Linked DNA regions of Rattus norvegicus. The protein of the gene in region 1 interacts with the protein of each later gene in a pairwise test. Links are inferred from orthologs where the notes say so. Each region holds a gene or a part of one and is shown on either strand. Other genes may lie near its edges.

The links. The genes of interacting proteins can lie anywhere in the genome.
Region 2: the proteins of Birc7 (region 1) and Phf1 interact in binary tests that used the Homo sapiens proteins (3 or more experiments, as listed by UniProt). The two-hybrid records come from large-scale screens. The link is inferred for Rattus norvegicus from reciprocal best matches to the Homo sapiens genes BIRC7 and PHF1.
Region 3: the proteins of Birc7 (region 1) and Casp9 interact in binary tests that used the Homo sapiens proteins (3 or more experiments, as listed by UniProt). The two-hybrid records come from large-scale screens. The link is inferred for Rattus norvegicus from reciprocal best matches to the Homo sapiens genes BIRC7 and CASP9.
Region 4: the proteins of Birc7 (region 1) and Ddx6 interact in a two-hybrid assay, tested with the Homo sapiens proteins (3 studies listed by BioGRID and IntAct). The two-hybrid records come from large-scale screens. The link is inferred for Rattus norvegicus from reciprocal best matches to the Homo sapiens genes BIRC7 and DDX6.

The regions. Positions count from the first base shown.
Region 1 is NC_086021.1:188,424,135-188,428,195, forward strand, and holds the start of Birc7 (baculoviral IAP repeat-containing protein 7), read left to right. Parts: upstream 1-1,257; 5' UTR 1,258-1,381; coding exon 1,382-1,748; intron 1,749-3,071; coding exon 3,072-3,171; intron 3,172-3,550; coding exon 3,551-3,629; intron 3,630-3,712; coding exon 3,713-3,758; intron 3,759-4,061.
Region 2 is NC_086038.1:5,018,539-5,022,780, reverse strand, and holds the start of Phf1 (PHD finger protein 1), read right to left. Parts: upstream 2,807-4,242; 5' UTR 2,605-2,806; intron 1,944-2,604; coding exon of another isoform or gene 1,923-1,943; coding exon 1,764-1,922; intron 1,682-1,763; coding exon 1,600-1,681; intron 1,504-1,599; coding exon 1,408-1,503; intron 1,056-1,407; coding exon 955-1,055; intron 864-954; coding exon 715-863; intron 574-714; coding exon 478-573; intron 350-477; coding exon 281-349; intron 194-280; coding exon 70-193; intron 1-69. Other genes in the region: kinesin-like protein KIFC1, read right to left, coding at 3,971-4,015. UniProt on the Homo sapiens protein: Polycomb group (PcG) that specifically binds histone H3 trimethylated at 'Lys-36' (H3K36me3) and recruits the PRC2 complex. Involved in DNA damage response and is recruited at double-strand breaks (DSBs).
Region 3 is NC_086023.1:159,390,625-159,394,879, reverse strand, and holds the start of Casp9 (caspase-9), read right to left. Parts: upstream 2,807-4,255; 5' UTR 2,767-2,806; coding exon 2,635-2,766; intron 543-2,634; coding exon 143-542; intron 1-142. UniProt on the Homo sapiens protein: Involved in the activation cascade of caspases responsible for apoptosis execution. Binding of caspase-9 to Apaf-1 leads to activation of the protease which then cleaves and activates effector caspases caspase-3 (CASP3) or caspase-7 (CASP7).
Region 4 is NC_086026.1:53,827,368-53,831,554, forward strand, and holds the start of Ddx6 (probable ATP-dependent RNA helicase DDX6), read left to right. Parts: upstream 1-1,381; 5' UTR 1,382-1,469; intron 1,470-1,508; exon of another isoform or gene 1,509-1,647; intron 1,648-1,710; exon of another isoform or gene 1,711-1,850; intron 1,851-3,958; 5' UTR 3,959-4,187.

The DNA.
Region 1 (4,061 bases):
ACCATCCTACCTCACAATGTCTCACAAGACCCAACCTCTAACTAAAGGACTATTGACAGTTGGAAGCTTCTGGAAGAGGGGGGGGTCAGTTTTCTTTAAGGTTGTGGCCCCTGGTAGGTTGACCATGCTCCCGTGGATGTCCCCACACCCATATGTGTACGGACACCACAAATTGGACTCAATTAATTATACATTTAAAAAGAAAAAAGAAAAAGGGCATGAAGTTGGAGTGGAATTCTTTTTTTTTTTTGAGACAGGATATCCCCTTTGTATTCTGGAACTAGCTCTGGAAAAGCTGGACTCAAACTCAGAGCTCTGCCTGCCTCTGCCTTGGAGTGCTGGGAAGCACCGTGCCCAGTTTTGCCTGAAATTTTCAAGGAATTAATAAAGATATTATTAAAAACTCACAATACTAAAAGCTTCACAATCCATGCAGAGCTACTTAAGGGTAAAGGTTTGTGCGAAAACCTGGTTACAGTGCAAGCCAGGGCAGAGCTGGCCCCTGGGTCTTCTCTGCCTCTTCCAGGGGTCCCAACCTGTAGCTATGGCGTCTCTGGGGTAATGACCCTCCTCTCTGTTCCCTGTTTTTCTGCATCAATGGAATCCCTCACCTGGGGCTGGTTAGTGAAGAGAAGATCTGGTTCTGGGGCAGAGCTCATTTAGGGATGCGATTTTCCATGTCACAATGCAAGTGGAAATGTCTGGCCCAGAACAAACACAATCCAAACCTTGAGCTCCTCCAGACAAAGGCCAGGGCATACCCCACCTTTGATTTGACTGTAGACTGTCTAGACAGAAAAAGAGCAACCTGTGACCAGATAGGTGGACTAACTCTGACTCAGGGCTGAGCCAAGCAGGAATCTCCTAAGTGCTAGGGACAAGATAAGCCAGTGATGAGGTCATCCCTGAACATCAGCACAGGCTTGGTATGGAAGGAATGGTGGGGTTGCATTCTGTTCTGGACAACCTAGCTTCCTACCTTGCAGGTCCTCGTCTGGGTCTCTCTCTACTCACTCTGGACCCTGAGTGGCTAGAGTCCCTCTCCTCCACTTTGTCCGTGTTCACGACCTGCTTCCTGAGGCTTAGGGGATTCCATTGGAGAGGTCCCAAGCTTGGTCCCTCCCCCTATTGAGAGATGCTTTTTGCCTGGTAGAGTACTGCCTTTGTTATGTGCCTGCCAGGAGGCCCCATGACATGCTGCAGACAGCACGTGGCTGCCACTCTGGCCTCTTTCAGAAACTGGCACATCCCTGAACACCACTGCATCTGAACATCTAGCAGCATATGCTTACAGTTAGAAGCAGGAGCCTCCACAGCTTCTAGAAAGGACTAGAGGCAGGAGCTGGAGAGGTAAGTCACCAGGCACATTCCAGGGCTGGTGATGTTCTCGCCTGCAGGCTTGCTCCGAGCTGCTGTCCTACCCATGGGGCCTGAGAGTAAGGACAGGGACTCCTTCTGTGGCCCAGAACTAAGCCACAGGGAAGAGAGCAATGGCCCCACACAGGAACAGCATAGACCCCACTGTCCTTGTAACCGTGTCCTGGGCCAGGACTGCCTAGATGGGCAGATCTTAGGCCAGTTGCGCCCCCTGTCAGAAGAGGAAGAATCCTCTGGGGCTACCTTCGTCGGGGAGCCTGCCTTCCCAGAGATGGACTCAGAGGATCTCCGCTTAGCCTCCTTCTACGACTGGCCATCTACTGCAGGGATTCAGCCTGAGCCATTGGCTGCTGCCGGCTTCTTCCACACAGGTAAATGTTGGGGTCTTTTTTGCTGTGGTCTGGATGCTACTTAGCGCTCTTCCAGGCAAATGGTTTTGTCCATTCCTGCCCTGAGGGAGGACTAATGAAAGGTACTTCTGTCACCCTTGCCCGGCCAGGGCTTGGGGTCTACCCCACTCAAGGCTGCTATGAAATCCTGGGCTTATGCTGGCCTTGTTCTGAGGGCCCTTACGCATGCGGAGTCTACTGACCTGGTGGTTTTGCCTGGCTTACATGGTTCTGAGGATTTCCCACACTCCTCGGGGATCCCCACAGTCATCAGTGCCTTTCAGGCTTGGTTATAGAGCTGATTAATCCCTTTCATCCCTTGACCCAAAGCCACAGAGCCAGAATCTATTCTACGGGGCAGGGGTCAGCTTGTACCATCCAGTGCTCATCTTGTAGGTAATCCTCCAGGCTTCCCAAGTACCAGGCTAGTGCAGGGACCAACTCCAGATAAATCCTTTGAGTACCTCTTCTAGTTATAAATTTAGAGCATTCCTTGAGCTTGGTCTGCCCTTCACTCACAGTAGGATTTCAGGCTGTCTTCCTGGCTGAGGGGAAGTGAGTCAGTGAGACCCGCTGAGGGGCTTTGTAGGTATGAGCATAACCAGAGAAATTGTTCACCTGTGGCAGCAGCAGGGGAGGAAACAGCTGTTTTCCTTGCACTGGCCAGTCAAGAGTCCATACTGATTTAGGAGAATCAGACACTGGTTAGGAAAGGTCAATGTCTGGAATGGTGGGAGCCCCCTTTAAAACGGAGCATCCTTGGGGCCAAAAGATGTCAGGGGGATTTTGTGGACCATGGATGCCTTCTGTGGGACATTGCCTGTAAGCAATCCTATTTGGAACTTCTGCTCAAGGTCACGAAGGGCACATTTTCCTATGACTGGGGGAGGGGCACAGAGCAGAGATGATTGAGGCCTGAGCCACTAAAACCAAAATCTGTCTGCAAACTGGTAGGGAAGGGGTCACCTCCTTATCCTGTAACTAGGAGTCCTCCTCGGAGGCCCTGGCACTCCCAGGCTGCAGATGCTCCAAGCCTTTGGCTCAACCCTACCCACACGCTCTGAGAACAACACAAATGCTAGCTCGACCTTTCCGGAATATTCTCAGGCCATCCCGACACATGCCCCAGGGCCATTGTCTTTATTCACCTTTGAGACAAGAGAGGTGTCCATGTGCCTTGTTCCCTTCTTGTTAACCTACTGGCAGATTCCAGTCCCGCATGCCCAAGCTCTGATGGTCATGGAGGGACACCCTGGAACTGTCAGCTAGGTGGGGCTACCAGCTGTGTGTCTCTGCCATACCCAGGCCAGCAGGACAAGGTGAGATGTTTCTTCTGCTACGGGGGTCTACAGAGCTGGGAACGTGGAGACGACCCCTGGACAGAGCATGCACGATGGTTCCCCAGGTAAGGGCCCTGTGGGCTGCTGTGGGTCTGGCTAATGAGAAGGGCCCCCAAAGAACTCTGTACAGCCTCCCCATCTCCCATGGTCCTGAGATATCTCTTCACACCTCACTCTTCACAGAGCCCTCTCTAGGTGGGCTGCTAGGGTAGGTACTTCCCTGTCGCTATCCTTTTCTAGGTGCTCACCTAGGTATTCAGAGCCCATCTCCAGGATAGCCTTGCTAGCAGGTGCCATGGGGGATACAGCCCTGACTACCTGTCACAGGAAGTAGTGGGTTCCATGGGAACAGAAGGCATGACCTAATCCCAAAGGCTTTCAGGGCTCGAATGTGACAGTGGGGCTCTGAGAGACCAGTCCTGCCTTCTGAGCTCTCTTCTCCAGGTGCCAGTTCCTGCTACGGTCAAAAGGAAGGGACTTTGTGGAAAGAATCCAGGCCTACACCCCCTTGCTTGGATCCTGGGTAAGTCCATCTGTCCTCAGGGCTCAGGCGGGTTGGCAGTCTCTCTGCTTTGTTTACTTAAGGCATTGGTGGCTCCCTAACAGGAACAACGGGAAGAACAGGAAGATACGGTCTCTGCCACTCCCTCAGGTGAGAGCCTGATGCACAGCCCTTGCAGTTTAGCCGGTGTTTGCAGCCTGCACGTGTGTAAGACGGGCGAGTGTCTCCACCTGCCAGTCAGCAGGGAGGGTGGGGACTGTGTCCTCGTGCTGTGTCCAAGGCACTGCATCCCCTTGATCCTAGTGAGAAGCCTGCTAAATACACTAGGGCAAACCTGGGGGCATGGCTGTATGCTAGGCTGGTTCTCATGGGCACGAGCCATAGCTTCTTAAAGCCAAGTGGGCTGCAACAAGAAGCCAGTTGAACAGAGATACAGAGGACATGGCTTTCCAA
Region 2 (4,242 bases), on another chromosome or scaffold:
TAAATGGGTCCCAGGGAGCACGCATTCCTTGTTCCAAAAACCCCAGTTCTCAAACTTTAGAACCCTTACCTCCCCCAGGAGCAGACTGTCCCAATTCTCAGAGGTGAAGGGGAGGATCTCTCGGTCAAAATCGAAATATTTCTTCTTACAGCAAACGCTGAGATGGTAGAGAACAAGATGGGCCACATCCACCCTGGAGGAGCATGAGATTGTCAACAGCAGCAGCATTATGGAGTCAGGAGTCATAGAGTAAAATGGCGGAGAGCACCATCCTTCTCACCAGCGAAGCTGTAACCTCCGTACTTTCTCAGGGCCGCCCCGGCACACACAGCATTCAAATTCATAGAATCTGTATATGGGTCAGGACAGAGGGACCTCACTCAACCCTCCAGTACGAGCTGCAGAGGGCTAACTAGTCAGTCGGGAGCGCGGGAGAGAGAGCACCCCAGGCTCCTGTGCAGTCTCCCTGGATCTCACCTGTCTCCGTAAAGGAGGGGCTTGCTCAGACACTGGGTGCAGGCCTCATGGAACCACTGGAGGCAGCTCCGGCATTGCAGCATTTTCAGGTTCCACCTCAAGGGGAAGACAGCGCCATGGCCCTCAGCCTTCTTCAAACCACAGGGCCCCCCCTCACCCTCTTCGCTCCCCTCTGTCCTGGGCTCTACCACCACAAAACACCCATGCCGTGGCTGGCCCTGCTCTTCCTTCACTTACTCCCCCGGGCCCCCGCAGTAACAGTAGCTCTGCTGCCTGTTGCTCAGATGTCCGGCGTCCCAGTCCAGCCCTTTCAGACCGTACGGCAGGGAGAGTTTCATGCCCAGCATGGCCCGGGCATAGGGACCCTTCTTCAGGGCACCTCCCCTCTGCAGAGGAACAGAGGGAAGCCTCAGAGGGCAGGGAAGGAGGAGAGGTCACGGGAGGCTCCCACACAAGCAGGCAGAGAGGTGCCTTTACCTTTGTGGCAATCGCAAAGACACACTGGCGGCAGACCCAGGAGCTGCCCTCTCCTTCTCCAGGGGCTGGGGCCCTGGGGACGTGACAGTCCTGGTGATAGGCTGAATGAGGAGAGAAGGCCACAGAGTGGCCTTTAAGTCCTGACCAGGGCATTTAAGACCGGTCCCGCTGGCAGGTCTCATCCTGACACTCAAGTTGAGTCAACGGGCTTCTAGCAGTTGAGGACCTTGCCCAAGGAAGCTTGGTTAAGAAATGTGAGCGAGCTACGGTAGGCCCTCAGCCTTGTCACCTGCATCCACGCTCCCTCTCCCTGTACTGAGATGAGGTGACAGGGTGAGGACTGGCCCAGGCAGGAGACGTGCGTGACTCACGCTATGAGGGAGGGTAACCCTTCTAGTGGTAACCCAGAAGACCCAGGGCAAACTGCACCCCCTAAACATCCCGCCCTCTCACCATGGCGACACTTCTCACAGCTGACCAGCCGGTTCCCAGGGACCACGGTCTCAGAGCGACACACACAACAGAGGAGCTCCTCACCAGGAAGGGCGGCTGTGAGAGAACAAAGTGTCAGGAGGCCCACTTCAACCCAGCGTCCCCATCGGCTCCAGCTGCTGCAGAGGGAAGCTGTGCTTTGAAGGGTCTCACCTGGGCTGATGTCCTTCCATAGAACTAGAAACTGGGAATCATCCTCAAACTGGACCAGACACACCTCCCGCGCACTGTCCACCTGGAGTGGATGACCAAGACCGTAAAGTGGGGGCAGGAATCAGACCGGCCTGGGAAGGCAGGGGATCAGAGGTGGGCCTCACCTTTTTGATGGTGCCCAAGTACAGGAGCCCATCAGTCCATCTTGCCAGCACATCTTGACCTTCCCAAAGCCGAGGTCTGGGGCCTGAGGTGGGAGCAGGGGAGGCTGGGTCCCAAAGAGAGGGAGCACCCAAACGGCTCAGCCGGGGGAGCTGCGCCATTGCATCCTGGGGTGGGCTATTCTGAAACAGGATGGTTAGAGTTTATGAGCGCTGAGAAAGTGTCCCTGTGTGGGTTGTTTTCTGTTACGGATGAAGAAACCCTGACCCTGACCAGGAATCTCCAACCCCAGTCTCGTAATCCTTTAGAACCCCGAGGAGGCAGGTCGTTCTGGTCAGCTTCTCTACTCCACTCCTTTCCATCTCCCCTGCCTAGCTCCGTAGTATCCCAGCTCCTCCGGACCTCCGGTGGAAAAGATGTTTGCAGAATCAAGGTTACCACTTAGTTTCACCTTTCCCAGCTGTGTAGAGGTAGCCTAACTGGGGCAATCTGTTGCCCGGAGATGTTTTGGGAGCTTTTCTAAAGACGTTAAAGGAGTAGAAACAGCTGCCTCCCCAGGCTTGTGTGTCTTATTTAGAGCCACCATCCTGGTGCCAGGTTATGTTAGGTCACCCTCAAATTTGGGGCTCCTTGACCTGGGATTAGATAACTTCCCTGAGTGCCCCAGGAGGGGGGCGTGTCCCTGTCCAAGTCTCTACTCCCCTACACTGCCAGTCCACGGAGGGACTTGAGTCGCCCCAGCACAGATCCCAAACTGGGACCAGGAGGCTCCCCCAGCCCTTCCTGCGCACCGACCCCCGGTTCCCTGCCCCCCCCCCTCCGGGCCTCCCGCCTTCTCCTTACCGGTGACAGCTGGGGCAGCTGGAAGCCAGGTAGGGGCAGACCCAAGAGATCTGGGTGAGTCCCCGGTGCGGGAAGACTGAGTGTGAGCGCCGAGGGGCGTGCAGGTGGAGGCCAGGGGGGTCCCCGGGCCCAGCCCCTCCGTCCTGGCCGCTCTGGGGCGTATGACGCAGCAGCCAAAGCAGCAGCAGCGGCAGGAGGAGTCGACAGAAGGAGGGAGGAGAGTGGAGGGTGGGGAGCACCAGTGGGAGGAGACGACGGAGGGGCGGGTAGGCAGCACCTCCCTCACCTCCAGTAGGCCCGGAGGGCGCTGCGCTATTGGAGGCGCGGCCGGTCGGGGAGGACGAGGAAATCCCTGTAGCCCCCTTTTCGGATAGGAGGCTTGCTCTGAGGGCAGCAGGAAATAACCTTCTTGGCAGCTAGCCTGCAGGTCAGGGCCGGGCCCCGCCCCATGCCACATCCGTTAGTTGCCCCGCCCCCGTGGCCACTCCAAGCTCCGCCTCCGCACGCGGAACCGCCCTCCTCATTCACGCTTTCTGTTGCCCCGCCCTTCTGCGCACGCGTAGCCCCGCCCGCGCGCCGCACCTGGGCACACAGCCACTCCTCCCGCGGCGAGCACTGGCATGGCCGTGCTCCTCTAGGAGGGAAAGGACCAGAGGCTACTTGGAACTAGTACTGGGGCGGTGACGCGCCCACACCAGCCAATGGGCACTAGGCGGCACGGACCGAACCATGGTTCGAACCGGTGGGCAGGGGAAGTGAGAGATTTAGTTGGTCACAGAGGGCCCGGTGTGGGCACTATGGGCACAACTCCCTGAGCTGAAGGACAGAGGAGAGGCACCAGGGCAGGCAGCAAAGTTAGTGTGTCCCTCCAAGTGAAAGCCCATAGCCTCCCTCACTCTGCAAAACAGGTCAAAATGGACATTTCTACATCTTACGGTATTTACTCACAATACTTCATCTGGCAGCTACCAATATTAATAAAACCATTAAGAGCTGTAACAGGGTCTGGAAAGATGGCTCAGTGGTTAAGAGCACTTACTGATCAGACCCCACATCGATGGTCAAAACTGTCCATAATTCCAGTTCCAGAGGCCCCGAAGCCTCTTCTGAACTTCAAGGAGCAGGAGACATGCACATGGTGCACATGTATATACTCAGGCTAAACAACTGTACACACACAATTTTTTAAATCTAAGATTAAGAAAAAAATTAACCTACACCAAATTTTCTTTATTTGATAGTTGGGTACATAATGTTGTCCACCCAATAAAATCATGTCTCAGCCCCGCCCCACCCCCGTGTTATACATATACACAAAACAGACACGCACACCCGCTTGCACAGGAGCCAGGCTCTGCATCCATCTTCATTTCTTATTAGCCTGAGCAGTGCCGATCACGCACTGGTTCACCTGTGGATGGACCAGTGAATAGGGTTACACGAGATCACTGCTTACAATCCGAAGTCTCCCATTCTGCCCCAATGCTGGGCCCACTGTCTGACTCCCTGAAATAAGGACTACGGCAGCAGGCTCGGCCTGACCCCCTGGAGGGACAGTGGTGCTGTGTCCACTAACCTGGAGGAGACCAGCAGTCTGAAAAGATGATAGAGATATGCCCGCTGGTCATATGTCAGCAT
Region 3 (4,255 bases), on another chromosome or scaffold:
CGGAAGAGTCCACGTCTCTCCTGTGAGCGTTCATTAAGACAAACGTTACATTTAAATCCTGAATCTCAACCGGGGCAGTACCCAGAGTCACACCCCAGTAACCTCAATGCACCCACCTGCCAAACATTCTCTTGATACTCACAGACATCATGAGCTCTGCCAGAACCAATGTCCACCGGCCTGGGTGTTTCTGGTGTGAGAACCTCTGGCCTGAGCCGAGTAGGCCAGAGCTCTTCCGGCCCCAGCACCACTGGGGTGAGGTTTCCCAAGGCAGGCTGAGATGGGTCCAGCTTCACTACTTTCTGCTCCTTTGATTTGAGTCCCATTGGTCCCAGGACCACAGGCACCAGGTGGTCTAGGGGTGTAACAGCTTCTGGATCCTGCTTGGCTGCTTGCCCACTGCTTTGCAAGAATGAAGCCAGAGAGCCTTGGCCTGTGTCCTCTAAGCAGGAGATGAAGCGAGGAAGGGCCTGCCTCCCTCGAGTCTCAAGATCTATGACCAGCTGCCTGGCCTGATCCCGCCGAGACCCAGAGCCTGCCCGCTGTTTGGATAGAAAACCAGACACTCATTATCCAGTGACATCTACAGTCACCCTACCTCCCGCTTCTCACCTAGCCTCTACCTTGTGAGTGCCGGGACTGCAGGTATGTACCACCACCCCTGGAACAAGTCTCTCCTTTCAAACAGTCTGCCATTCCCAATACTAGGTCCGACACTGCTCTGACCACACTTAGCTGGAGAAGGACAGAGGCTGCTGGTGCCTCCCCGCGCAGTTTGGCTTTTGATCCCCCTTAATATGCCTGTGGTAGATAGACAGAAACTAATCTAGCAGTGTACTGAGTTCATGTCCCTCTGCAGTCTTTGCTTGTCAATGACACCTACTGTGTGTTTGTCCAGCTCTGTGCTAAGTGCTAATTAGCCCTACTAAAAGTAGCAAAATGGTGGTCAGTAGTTTGGACGAGGTACTTCAAACTTTCTAAACTTGTTCCTAACATTAAAATAAGAGAATTAAATGTAGAATTCAAGATCTCCAACATCTCTGTTTTTGGAGGAAAAGAAGTTTCTGTTGGGGGGGGGGGACTTTCATATTTGTGTGGGGGAAGGAAAAGTTCTCAAGTAGCCAAGATTGGCCTTCAAGTTCCTTCATAGCTGAGGATGACCTTTGAACTTCTGCCTCTCCTGACTCCAGAGTCACCAGGCCTGGTTTTATAGGGCTAGGGGTTAGACTCAGGGATTCACGAATACTAGACATGCACTGTACCAAATAAACTGTATGTCTAGCTTCTTGCTTTGGTTTTGCTTTTAAACATTTACTATGTATGTATGTATGTAGGTAGGTAGGTAGGTATATGTGTGTGTATCTAGATGTATATGTGCCAACTGTGTGTGCCTGGTGCCCAAGGAGGCCAGAAGAGTGTGTCAGATCCCAGGGACTACAGTTATAGTTGTGAGCCACCATGTGGGTGCTGAAAACTGAAATCAAAGCTCTTAACAACTGAGGCAGCTCTCCAGCCCTTGGTTTTGGTTTCCAGAGACTCGATCTCAAACTCTGTATGTAGCCAAGGATCCCCTCCAACACCTGATCCTCCTGCCTCTACCTCCTGAGGGCTGGGATTCCAGAGGAACAAACCATTCCTTTCAAACAGCCTGCCACTGCCAACACTAGGTCGGACACTGCTCTGACCACACTTAGCTGGAGAAGGAAATACGACAGAGGCCGCTGGTGCCTCCCTGCACAGTTCGGCTTCTGATCCTCCTTAATATGCCTTCTGGAAGACTAGGGCTTTCCCTTCAAACCACTTTCCTTGGCCAGCATGGGCCCCTCCGAAAGTGTTCCTGAGACTACTTTTGTTATTATCTGGTAGTTAACCCCATGACTCTACACCACTTTCTTCTATTTTCCTTCACTAGACCAGACTAGGTTCCAATCCAGATGCTGGAGACAGCTTTCTAGACAGTTCCCCAGGGCCTGACACTCATATCCTCTCAAAAAGAAATATTCCCTTTTCAGACTTGCAGTGAGGCATCAACTGGAGCAAAGAAGCTCAAATGTATTTTTTTTAAAAATCAAATGTTTGATTGTATTCTTCGGTGGTACCTGTATCAATGTCCGTCTTTTCTGAAATCCTTTATAAAGCATGCACTTGGATAAAAGCCCAGCTAAAAAAAAAGACATGGGTCCTGGGGCTGTGGCCCCACAGAAGTGCTTCACCTTGGTTATCTCATTCATCCTAGAACAGGATGACACCGTTGCATTTCACAGCCCAGGAAACTGAGGCTCAAAGACGGCAAGTGACAAGTACAATGAGCCAGTATAAACCTAAAGTGGGTGTTTAGGACCCTTCTACAGAGAGGCTAAACTACTAACAAGGTGTGGGTTACAGTGGCATTAGCGAGCACTCCACAAAAGAGGTGCTTGGGTTCTTCTGAAGGATTAAAAGAGCTGGATTGTGGAAGGTTTTAAAAATGGAGTTCCCACACCATGGTTTCCCAGGGCCTGGGTTGCACACCGTGCAAAGCGGGAGAAAAGGGCGGGAGCTCCGTAGCGGTGGCTTCAGTGAACCTCTCTGCGACCTCCCAGTCCCTACCGGCGCCGTGGGAAAAGCGGCGGACACAAGGGAGCGGGGGAGCACCTGAATATCCTCGATCATGTCGCGCGTGAAGAGCTCACGACTCAGCAGAGCGTCCCACAGCTCCGCGACTTGCAGTTCGCGCACAAGGCGTACCCTGCATCGCCGCAGGAGTTGCCGGTCAGCCTCCTCCATGGCTAGCGGATTGCTGGACCCCTGGTTCCGTCCGCTTCCGGGCCTCGGGTCCCGCCCCGGCACCCACGCCCCGCCCCCACATAGCTCCTCTAGGGATCACGCTCCGACCAGTGGTCACCGCCCCAAGGCCGGTCCCTCAAGCTCACTCGGCTCCACCTCCGCAGCCACCTCAGCTCCGAAGGCCCCGTCACCGCTTCACCAGTCCTCCCACCTCTCTCACTCCCCCCACGTCCCCCCTTCCCCCCACCCCCACCCCCCGCGCTCTCAGGCCACGCCCCTTCGCCACGCCCCAAGATGTCCTTGCTTCGTTCCGCCTGCTGGCGCTGCACGCAAGCCCCGCCCCGTCACACGCCTCATATAAGACTCGCTCTTCCTTGCCTCATAGACCAGCACTCCGGCCCTATGGAGTTCCTTCGCTCCGCCCCGTGGCCCGCCCCCTTCTCTGCTTTTGCCTTTGTCCCCGCCTCCAGGACCCGCCCCCATCTTGCTATTCCAACTCTCTCCTAGTCCGGCACTCAGGCCTCACCCCACCTCTTTCCCTGCAGCGCTCTCTCCTCACGCCCCTCCCTCGCCCAGCTCTCGCCCGCCTCTAACAGCGGCCAAACGTAACGTTGCTCCGCCCCCCATGCGACCCACGTGACTTTCCATGCGGCCTTCTCCTCCCACACTCTCCCCCAGGGCGCCCCTAGGGTTCCAAACCCCAGGTTTGCCTTGCTACCTTCCGCCCATTTGCTGGTTCCGCTTAGCAGCGATTGTTCTAACAAAGTTCACTGGTGACCCTATTTCTACAGATGCTCAAAGGGTCGCGAGAGGAAAAGGAAGAAACCATGTCTAGACGTCTTTCAAGTCCTTTGCGGGCTGTGGCTTTCTTCTAACGCCCTCCTCCGTTGCGGCTAGTAAAACCTCGCCTCCTGCTTTTTCAGGCTATCCTGCCTCAGCAAACTAAGCCCACAGACTTCCATCTCGCTCTCTTCTCTTTCCCTCCTCAGCACCTCCCACATAGAAACTGCCAGGAATCTAGTCCTCTGTTCTCTCAGTTTTGTACCACTCATTTCCACGACTTAAAAAGTAACTGAACAAGGCTGGAGAGATGGTTCAGTGGTTAAGAGCACTGGCTGCTCTTCCAGAGGTCCTGAATTCATATCCCAGCAACCACATGGTGGCTCACAGCCATCTATAATGGAAGGTGATTCCCTCTTTTGGTGTGCATGAAGATTCCTATATACATTAAGTAAATAAATCATTTTTAAAAAATAATTGAGCATCGTGCTAGCCACTTACGGTGTTGTCCCAGCTAGCCATGTTATTATCCCTGACATATTCCCGATAATAGTTATTCCTTGCTGACAGCTGTGGACATGTGTTAGGGATCTCACAGCTTGACCCCCAACAGAGGCATCTGAGATTCAAACCCGAACTGGGATAGACCCTTAGCCAAGAATCCACCATGGAATATGTCAAAAGATGATATTACACTCGCTTCCCGATT
Region 4 (4,187 bases), on another chromosome or scaffold:
ACACACACACACACACACACACACACACACACGAAAAGCGCAGCAGTTGGGGAGGGGTGCTTCAGGCTTACTCTGATTGGATGTTGCTGTCTAGAAAGCAGGAGAAGGGCTGGAAGCAGGGAGTCATTGGCTTAGAGAGCGTATTTGGCTTTCTCTGATTGGTCTCAAGTTGGAAGCAGCGGTAAAAAATATGGAAGCTGCTAGTCACTGACTACGAGTATTGACTGTTCAGGACCCCTTAACGAGTGATCTAGTATGGAGTCGTATTGTCACAAATGATTTGACCATTGTCAGTATTTCCAGCCCTCCAGCAGCGTAGGACGCAGGTTTTTCACTTCGGCCCAGCTCGATTTTTACTTAACACACAAGAAATGTTTGTTTTACTTGAAACAAGACTGCTTTCTAGGTTAAGGATAAGACCTCAGGATCTGAGAATCATAGAAACAAATGCACAGATAGCTGTCTGCAGTGAGGGTCAGGCAGCAGAATCTACTGGTTTCCCATTTTCACAGCGAGACCTCCCTCGTAGAGGCGACCCGCCCTTCTTTCTAGAAGAGTGCCACTGCCGGCAGGAGCAAAGGGTCACCTCGCCTGCACTCTGGGCTTGGTAGCCCACGACCTAGGGCGGGCTCCCGGTTCACGCTTTCCCCGCTGCCTCGCCGACAGCCTCGGCCCTTCAGGCCCAATTTTTCTGCACGTCCCTGGGTGGAGGTGCGCCCTGGCCTCGCAGCAGCCTCCCGGCCACCCCAGGTCAGCTTCCGGACCGGCGCAGGCTGCCCTCCGAGCGCGTCCCCGGTCAGCAGTCAGCAGGCGTCCCCTCCGCCCGGCCCGGCCAGCCCAGCTCAGGAGGGACGAAGGCAAGGACGACACTCCCCGGCCACCATTCATTTCCCCACTGGTCTCCTCAGCTCTGCAGGCAAGCTCTCCAGTCCGTCCGTCCGTCCGTCTGTCCGTCCGTCCGTCCTTCCCGAAAACAGCCCCGTGTTTCCCTGAGCTCGGTCCCATCAGTAACGAGTCTCTCCCGACCCTCGCCCGCCGCGCCCAGGAAGCCGTGACGCCGCGGCGGCTGCAGCGGCGGAGCTCTCGCCATCTTGTGTGGAGGAGGAGCCGCAGCCGCCGCCATGCGGAGAGGCTGGGAAGGAGGGAGGGAGACGACAGCGGCGGGCGAGGGAGGGGGCAGAGCAGCAGAGTCAGCTCCGCTCAGCGGCGACATCCGGGGCGCCGGCACAGCGGGCTACGGCCGAGGTAGCGCGGGACGGCAGCGGCGGCGGCGGCGCGGGCGGCGAGCGGCGCGGCGGGGGCGGGGCGGCGGGCGTAGCGGCGAGGGGCCGGGTGGGGGCGGGCGGAGGTTTCCGAGGAGGAAGGAGCCGCCGCCATTTTGGGAGCTTCGAGTCAACAATAAAGGACCGAGGGTGCGGAGCGGGAGTGGCCTGGGTGGTAGGACTCGGGCCCGAGCCGCGGGGCGTGGGGTGAGGCGGTGTGGTCGGGGTCGGTAGGGCCCTGAGGGTCGCGGGGAGCCCCCTCGGGCGGGAGTCAGGGCGCGCTTGGGGCGGAAGCCCGAGGCCCAGGCCTGGCCCGGGAGGACGGGCGGGTGGCCGCTGAGAGGAGCAGCGGCGGCGGCGGAGAGGAGTGGAACCGAGGAATGTGGTGTGTGCCCGGTCTGGAGGAGGAGCGGTGGAGTGCTCTGGGCGAGCGGTGTGGTAGACGGGAGCGGGGACGGAGCGGCGGCCGGGACTCCGGAGTGAGGTTGGGAGTGCGAGGCAGCCCTGTTGGGGGCGGCAGGGCTGTGCTGTCCGGAGACTGGGCTAGGAGAGGACCCGCAGCTGCTCGGTTGCAAGTAGGCCTTGCAGGTTGGTGGGAACATAGGGTTTGGGGAGACTCAGCGGCGTAAGAGGAAAGGGGAGGCGGTCCAGTTTTTGGGGTTCTCTTCCGGGCCTTCTGAGGGGAGTCCCTATTGTTTCCCACTCGCAGAGCTGGTTCCGGCTCTTGTGGCGCAGATAGATTGCAGGGCAGAAAAAAACCCTTTTGCGTTTTGATCTGAAGGAGCTGGATTTGTAGAGTGTAGTTGGGGGAGGGGGAGAGGAATTATTGCCCTACGGTTACTGGACTCCGAGTCTTAGCTTGGTTTTTCCTTTTCCATAGCCCCCCTTTTCCTTCAGAAAAACCCCAATCACTCCAACTTCCTGCTGAGGCTTAGAGAAATCGCGCTGTATTTGCAAACAAAAGCCCTTGTTGGAGCTTATGGTACTGTTTTAGGTGTGAAACTGTCAATTGCTAACCACGGTCTGGGCCGTGCTGTAATTAACTCTGCCAGGGGCTCCTCCCAGCTAAGTCTACGTTCCTTCGTGGTTTTGTTTTAAGACTATAACTTGCAAATCTAAATTGGGAAGGGGTAGGACGAATATTTCCCCAACTGAGACATAAAACTGCAGTGCAGGTATCTGTTTCTGGAGAGAGCAGTTATCGAAGTCTCTGGGTTTAAGGCACTGGGTCTTACTGGGCTTGATTGACAGTACTGATGGTGTCCGTTAGTATTCAGAGGTTGCCCCCTTCAGCCTCTTAGTGCTGTACAAATAGGAAGCCTTCCTGTTTGACGTACCTCATACTGTTGATCATATGCTGTCAATACAGAAAATGCCTATTAACAGAACAAATAAACAGCTTTATGTGATAAGCAGCATTTGTGAGCAAGTTGATATATAACGAGATATCCTTTGACTTGAAAATTTTGGGTTTGGGACACTTGGTGTGTGGCAAAGATAACTAGCACTAATTAAGCTAGTGTTTTGGGAACCAGTGAAATAATGTAAGGGGGTTACAAAATAAAACTGAACGAGTTGGGCTTATACTGGTCCTTAGTAATTTTTTATTTGCCAAATTTTGAGAATTCCATTTGGGGAACAATTTAAAGTAGAGGAGGTTGACCAACTCTTTCTTAAAAATAACTTAATTAGACTCGCTATTCAGGGTGATTTGGGAGAATTTTATTAAAACTACAAGTTTAGCCCTCTGGTTTTTCTTTCCCCTTTTACTATAGGACACACACACACACACACACACACACACACACACACACACACGTACGTACGTACGTTTAAACTTTTTTATTTTTCCTTTTCTTTTTTTCGGAGCTGGGGATCGAACCCAGGGCCTTGGGCTTGCTACGCAAGCCCTCTACCACTGAGCTAAATCCCCAACCCCTAAACTTTATTTTAAATTAGGACATACTTTTTGAAAAGTGTTATAGTAAAAGGCAACACTAACAGCTTTCATTCAACTTTTGGTATTGGGGCTTTCTTTTTTCTTTGCCCCCCCCCCTCCAGTTGAAGAGAATCTTAGAGTTTTTCAAGCAGAAGATTTTTGATATGTAGACTGCTCCATACAGATCTTTTGACTGCTTCAATTATTTTGGTCAGGACAAAATTCAATAAAAAAAAATTGATTTCTGTAATTGAAACTGGTAAGAAGACTTCGTATTTGAAAAGTCTTTTCATTTAAAGGTTTTTGTGTTGCTGTCAGAAATAGAAAGATGTTAGTGAATTGTCTTGTTCAAATCTAGATGTACATGAGGTAAATTGAGTGATATTTCAAGTTTTAATGTAATTAAATGTAATGACATTTAGAGGGGGCAGGACTTGGAGAGAATTCATTAGGAGATTGAAGAACAGATTGTTATTTGAGAATGAATTTGAATTTTATCAATAGTATCTTCCTGCCTTTTTTTCCCCCTAAGTTGCTTTGTTCTTGCAATTTTAAATGTTTGAGGTTGGATTTTTCGTAGGTTGGGTTTTTAAGGCAGTTCTTCGCTATGTCTTTCCTATGTCAAGTAGTGATCTGGTTTGAGTATGTCGATTAGTGGTTCTTGAGAAGATGACCATTGCAGAGGAGTTCTTTAAAAGGGAACAATTTCTCCCCCTGACTTTGTGGTCTGCTAATTTAATTTTTTTCTTTGTTTCAGATTGAAGTGAGTGAATTCAGATATAATTCAAGCTTGTTAGAGCGCTTTAAAAAAATACAAAGTTGATTCGTTGCTTGAGAGCAAGTTAACTACTGCTGCTTACCGGTGAGAGACTTACAGGTGCTTGCCTGAATTGCAATAAAGGACTCATATATTGAGCAAGACTTATTTATCTCTTCATTTTGGAGAGCCTCATAAACTGTTATTACAGTTTCTCTACTGACTTTGA